2 linked regions of the Sus scrofa genome follow. Each later gene encodes a partner of the first gene's protein in a complex. Links are inferred from orthologs where the notes say so. Each region holds a gene or a part of one and is shown in the gene's direction. Other genes may lie near its edges.

Evidence for each region. The genes of interacting proteins can lie anywhere in the genome.
Region 2: the proteins of H3F3A (region 1) and CARM1 are in contact, whole or in part, in a crystal structure (PDB 5DWQ), measured with the Homo sapiens proteins. The link is inferred for Sus scrofa from reciprocal best matches to the Homo sapiens genes H3-3A and CARM1. Residues at the interface, in NP_001365972.1 of Homo sapiens: Gly14, Lys15, Ala16, Pro17, Arg18, Lys19, Gln20, Leu21; in NP_954592.1 of Homo sapiens: Gln148, Tyr149, Phe152, Tyr153, Gln158, Asn161, Met162, Asp165, Glu257, Pro258, Met259, Gly260, Tyr261, Glu266, Val340, Leu412, Thr413, His414, Trp415, Tyr416, Ser447, Lys470, Pro472, Phe474.

The regions. Positions count from the first base shown.
Region 1 is NC_010452.4:13,945,591-13,948,514, forward strand, and holds the end of H3F3A (histone H3.3), read left to right. Parts: intron 1-2,248; coding exon 2,249-2,377; 3' UTR 2,378-2,386; downstream 2,387-2,924. UniProt on the Homo sapiens protein: Variant histone H3 which replaces conventional H3 in a wide range of nucleosomes in active genes. Constitutes the predominant form of histone H3 in non-dividing cells and is incorporated into chromatin independently of DNA synthesis.
Region 2 is NC_010444.4:69,626,113-69,629,766, forward strand, and holds part of CARM1 (histone-arginine methyltransferase CARM1), read left to right. Parts: intron 1-2,310; coding exon 2,311-2,436; intron 2,437-3,654. UniProt on the Homo sapiens protein: Methylates (mono- and asymmetric dimethylation) the guanidino nitrogens of arginyl residues in several proteins involved in DNA packaging, transcription regulation, pre-mRNA splicing, and mRNA stability.

The DNA.
Region 1 (2,924 bases):
TCAAACCTCTACTTGAGGGCAAGGCAGTGTGAGTATAAAATAAGATCACTGTTAAGTAATTTAAGGGCTTTAAAAGTGACTGATGTACTATGCCAATTATGAGTGCCAAGGAATTAGGAGGGTTCAAAGTTATCTGCACCTGGGAACTAGGGGCAAGAGAAGTGTTTGGTTTCTCCTTCATGGAATAGTCTTGAACTCGGCCTTAAAAGGTAGATAAATAAAACTTGGCTCTTGATAACAAAAGATGAAGAAAGTCATGTAAGGATAGTAAAATTTGAGTGAAACAAATTTTTATAGAAGAGAGATAGGCTAAAAAGGTAAAGGTGCAGTTCCTGCTATGGTGTGGCTGTGTCTCTGCAGCTCTAGGACACAGGTTCGATCCTGGCCCAGCATTCTAGGTTAAAGAATTTGGCATTGCTGCAGCTGCAGCATAGATTACATCTGTGGCTTGGATCTGATCCCTGGCCCAGGAATTCCATGAGCCTCCAAAAAAGGAAAGAAAAAAAAAAGATGAATGGCATAAACGTGAAGGTTACAGTTTTTTTCATAAGGTGGACTAATGTAGACCATTTGAATTAATCGTTGCTGTTAGTACTTTTAAAAGCAGATCTCAAGTTTTATTGGCAAAGTCAGAAAAAAGTTGGTAAAAAGTAAATCTGGTTCTTCCCATTTGTATATCTTGTGTGTTATTTAGTATTGAGGGGCTTGAATTGCTCAAGTATTTTGTGTTTCTTTTTGTTTTATAGTTACCTAAAGGTTCCAAATTGAAGTTTGTTTTGTTTTGTTTTAAGGCCACACCTTCTGGCGTATGGAGGATCCAAGGCTAGGGGTTAAATCAGAGTTACAGCTGCTGGCCTACGCCACAGCATAGCAACTTGGGATCTCAGCTGTGTCTGTGACCTACACTGCAGCTCACAGCGACCCACTGAGCAAGGTCAGGGATTGAACCCCAATCTTCATGGATACTAGTCAGATTCATTTCTGCTGTACCACAATGGGAACTCCTGGAAATAATTTTAAATGTGTCTTCAACAGAGAAAACTTGCATGTAGAGAGGCCAGATAAGGTCTTCATTCAGTATTCTTAATCCACTAAAACAGTTGGACTGATGACTAGACTGGTAAAACAAAACAGTAGCTTCATTTCAAAATGAGTAAGCAGATGTTTTAAGTTGGACTAAAGGATTCTTCAACTTTTCAGATAACTATAAAATGTATAATAAAAGTTAATTATAAAAACATCTTATACTGTTTTGGGGAAAACCAGAGGGGTCAATATTAATTCTGGGGGGTTACAAATGCCAGTACATGTTGGGGTACATGGGGGGGGTACAGTTAGTAGGGGAAAGTAGGGGGCACAGCAGCAAAATAGGTTAATGTATGTAAATTAAGACGCAAGTGTTCTGGGACCCTGTAGTACTCTGAAAACTGAGGTGTTAAAGAAAAGGTAGAGAAGAAGGACCTTATGATGGAAACCTGTGGTCAGCTATATATATATATATTTTTAGGACCTCATACATGGCATATAGAGATTCTCAGGCTAGGGGTCAAATTGGAGCTACAGCTGCTGGCCTACACCACAGCAACGCCGGATCTAAGCCACGTCTGCAACCTGCATCACAGCTCACAGCATCACGTATCTTTAACATTAATCCCTTTAAAGCCAGGGATTGAACCCACATCCCCATGGATATTAGTCAGGTTCCTAAAACCTGTAAGCCACTATGGGAACTCCAAAATTGGATTTCTTGACTTAACTCAAGATATGCTTTACTAGAAATCACACATAATGTTAGAAAAAATGAAACTTTTTAAGTAACGAAATAAGTTTTGTATTATTTGGTAAAGATTAACAAGCTTGAGCTTTTCACTTTTCATAAGCTGCCTTTCAGCCTTGTCCCACAAATTATAATATGTAACCATTTGGGAGTTCCCACTAGCTGTTTAGGAACCAGTGTAGGTTGCTGCTGAGGCCTGGATTTTATTCCCAGCCCAGCATAGTGGGGTAAGGATCTGACGTTGCTGCAACTGTGGCTCAAATTTGATCTCTGGCCCAGGAACTCACACATGCCATGGGTGCAGCCAAATTAATTATTTAATTAAAAGAAAATGTGAGCATTTGGTAAAATAGTCAACATCTCCTGAAGTAGGATTTTAAAGGGCTCAAAAACTTGATCATTTTAACTGATAAAGATGTATCTTAACTGTTTACATTAACATTAATATGTTTTTCTTTATTCCTTTTGTAGGAGGCAAGTGAGGCCTATCTGGTTGGCCTTTTTGAAGACACCAACCTGTGTGCTATCCATGCCAAACGTGTAACAATTATGCCAAAAGACATCCAGCTAGCACGCCGCATACGTGGAGAACGTGCTTAAGAATCCACTATGATGGGAAACATTTCATTCTTTAAAAAAAAAAAAAATTCTCTTCTTCCTGTTATTGGTAGTTCTGAACGTTAGATATTTTTTTTCCATGGGGTCAAAAGGTACCTAAGTATATGATTGCAAGTGGAAAAATAGGGGACAGAAATCAGGTATTGGCAGTTTTTCCATTTTCATTTGTGTGTGAATTTTTAATATAAATGCGGGGACATAAAGCATTAATGCAAGTCAAAATGTTTCAGTGAACAAGTTTCAGCAGTTCAACTTTATAACAATTATAAATAAACCTGTTAAATTTTTCTGGACAATGCCAGCATTTGGATTTTTTTAAAACAAGTAAATTTCTTATTGACTGCAACTAAATGGTGTTTGTAGCATTTTTATCATACAGTAGATTCCATCCATTCACTATACTTTTCTAACTGAGTTGTCCTACATGCAAGTACATGTTTTTAATGTTGTCTGTCTTCTGTGCTGTTCCTGTAAGTTTGCTATTAAAATACATTAAACTATACCTGCTTTTGGTCTTTACTATCAACTT
Region 2 (3,654 bases), on another chromosome or scaffold:
TTTTGTTGCTTACTTGACGAGGCAGTCAAATGCAAGTTGTAGACATCACAGGAATTTACTTCCAGACGTATCTTTTATTTTTTTATTTTTTTTTTGTCTTTTTGTCTTTTGTCTGTTGTTGTTGTTGCTATTTCTTGGGCCGCTCCCACGGCATATGGAGATTCCCAGGCTAGGGGTTGAATCGGAGCTGTAGCCACCGGCCTATGCCAGAGCCACAGCAACGCGGGATCCGAGCCGCGTCTGCAACCTACACCACAGCTCAGGCAACGCCGGATCGTTAACCCACTGAGCAAGGGCAGGGACCGAACCCGCAACCTCATGGTTCCTAGTCGGATTCGTTAACCACTGCGCCACGACAGGAACTCCCCAGACGTATCTTTTAATGATAAGGGCATTCTACAGAATAATGCTCTTGTCACATCTAGATCATTTAAAATTATGGCTCCTGCGGTCCACACACTTCCCCAGTTGTCCTTTATAGCTGGACCACACCTCGTATTTGATCATCAAGGCTCTTTAGTCTCCTTTACTCTGGAATAGTTTCCAGCAATTTAGGTTTTTCCTGAGGCAACCAGGGAGGCTGTCTTGGACTGCCCCTGATCTGGTACAGTTGTCCCCTTCTAATGGGACCAGGGTGTCCATCCCACTGTCCGACATCCAGGCCACAGTGTTGGGTTGGTCTGTCTCCTGGTGATGTTGGCCAAGGTGGGGCGCCCTGTGCTGGTTGAGAGAATGCAGTAACAATAGTGGTGGCGGGCTCGGGGATGCAGTGCTTCTCTCCATATGTGTGTGGTGGGCCCTTCGCCTGTCCCACCATTAGTTCTGCTTGACAGATGAGAAAACTGAGGGCTCTGCCCTGCCCTCATGATACTGAGTAGCACAGGTGGGGCATGAACACAGGCTGTCCAGCTTCAGTGGCCACACACAATACATGCAAGAAGGAAAGGGCTCAGCTGGAGGAAGCAGAATGGAGATTCCTTTCTTGAGCCACACCCAACCATCTACTGTCTCATTCACACATGTGTGCACACACGTATATAAGCACATACTGTGCACTCATGGCCACTTCTTCTCTCTGGATCATCAGCCTGACCAACCCTGGTGACCATCCAGGCCTCGGGTGAGTGGTCTCCAGGTGCTGAGAGGGCAAAGTGAGGAAGAGAAATCAAATGTCTCCTGTCCCAGAGGGAAAATCTGAGTGAGGAGGAGATGCAGGAAAACTGGGGGAGGCATCCACTGACAAAGGTGCAGAGTGTATACCTCTGGTCTGATGTGACCGCCGCTCATGACTGCTGTCCCTTGGTCCCTTCAGCAGTTTGAAATCATCTTTCTATACTAAGACATTGCCTTTCTGCTTTTATTTTCAAATTTCAAAGATTACTTTTGAAAGGAGTTCCCTGGTGGTGCAGTGGATTAAGGATCTGGCACTGTCGCTGCTGTGGCTCGGATCACTGCTATGGCACATGTTCATTCCTTGGCCCATGAATTTCCGCATGCTTTAGGCCAGACCAAAACAAAATAAAACCTTGAAAAAAAGTAAAAATTGTGGGGAAAAAAAGATTACTTTTGAAATCCACTGGGGTTTCTTTTTCTTTTCTTTTTTCTTTCTTTTTTTTTTTTTTTTGGCTGCACCTGCAGTATGTGGAAGTTCCTGGGCCAGGGATCGAACTTGCACCACAGCAGTGACAACGCCAGATCCTTAGCCTATATGGCACCAGAGAACTCCATCCACCAGGATTTGTTTCTCACCCTCCACCCAGCCCTGCTCAGCTCTGAAGACTGATGATACCCCCATGTGTCACAAAAGGGCCAGTGACTGAAGGCCTGACTCCTTCAGCTGGGCCTGGGGTGCCCTGCTGGGTTCCTGTGAACCCTCAGTCCCCACCAGACTTGCCCTTTTCTCATGTGTCTTCCTACCTCACTGCCCACTGAGCAGCATGGGGTCTGGTACCAGGAGGTGCTGGTGAGGGGTCATCCTGGCAGAGGTGTCCCCTGGACCTCACAGTGCTGGGCAACTGCCCTCCCCGCCCCAGTCCTGGTCGCCCTGCGGACAGCTGTCCTCTCCCACTGGACAGGCTGTGTACCTCCCCCCACAGATGTGATTGGCCATCACCTTGTCCTCAGCATGGGTTGGGCAGGCATGGTACGGGGCAGTGCTTCTGCGGGGTATGGCACTCTGGAAGCATCTAGGAAGTTGTGAGGAGGGACGGGGAGTTTGGCGGGACAGGACTTGAACAAAGGCAGCCAGTGGGGAGCCTGACCAGGCTGGCCAGGACCTGTCGGCTCACAGCTTCCTTCCTGCTCCTGCAGATGAAGACGTCTGTGTGTTCAAGTGCTCAGTGTCCCGGGAGACAGAGTGTAGCCGTGTGGGCAAGCAGTCCTTCATCATCACCCTCGGCTGCAACAGCGTCCTCATCCAGTTTGCCACACCCAGCGGTACGTGTCCTACCTGTCCCAGCAGCACAAGGAGTGCCCAGAGTGGGGGTGTGGAGGGGGGTTGGAGCCTGGTTAAATCCTGACCCAGGAAATGCCCCACGGACATCAGAAATCATATTCCGTGAAGAAATAAGTCCATGATAGGAATATGTTCTTGCTGTGTGGACACTGCCCCAGACCCTGCCAGCCCTTCTGGGACCTCCCGGGCTTGGCTTATATATCCCCTCCTCTGAGAGGCCTGGCCTGACCTTCCAGCTGAGGCCCAGCCCTCCCACAGCAGTGGAGGGGACAGGATGAGGTCTCCAGGTTGGTGGAGGCTTTGTTCGGAGCATGGAGGAAACACTGAAGGAGCTAAGCAGATGCAGCTGGGGGACACATGAGGCTCCTGAGCGGGGCTTGGGAAGCCACAGGGAGGAGCTGCCAGTGGTTCAGGGCAGGCGCGCGCGCGCGCGCGTGCGTGTGTGCGTGTGTGTGTGTGTGTGTGTGTGTGTGTGTGTGTCCAGGCCAACTGCAGAGCCAAAGAGAGACTGCCTGCCCCCAGCTCCCCCAGAGCTCTCTTACCTGTCCCAGCACCCCGACGGAGGGAGGCTACTCCCATAGCCCAGACACTCAGGACTGCTCGCCCTGGTGTGGCCTCGCTGCAGAGCTGGGAGAAAGCAGCCAGTTGACTGACTGCCTCCCACCAGAAGCATTCTTACGCTCTAAGCTCCGGTTCTTTCTTCTTTTTTTTTAAATGGCCGCACCTGAGACATAGGGAAGTTCCTAGGCCAGGGAGCAAATCTGCAGCTGTGACTTATGCTACAGCTGTGGCTGCGCCAGATCCTTAACCCACTGTACCAGGCCGAGATCAAACCTGTGCCTCACCAGTGACCTGAGCTGCTGCAGAGACAAGGCCAGGTCCTTAACCCACTGTGCTGTGCAGGAATTCCCCAGGTTCCTTCTTTATGTACATAATTAATCCCAGTTCAATGTTTAAAAAAAGAAGTTACAGAAACACCACCAGAGTTGTCATTAAGAGTTGATGTAGATCCCTCTAGTCTTTTTCTGCTCTGTGAATGTTTATAGTCTAATTTTTTCCCCTTTCAATCCTATCCTTTTTTTTTAAGTTGTGGTCAAATTTACATAACAAAAATGTTACCATGTTATAACCCTTTTTGAGTATACATTTCTATATTCACCAGCTCCAGAATGTTTTCATCTTCCCAAACTGTACATTTT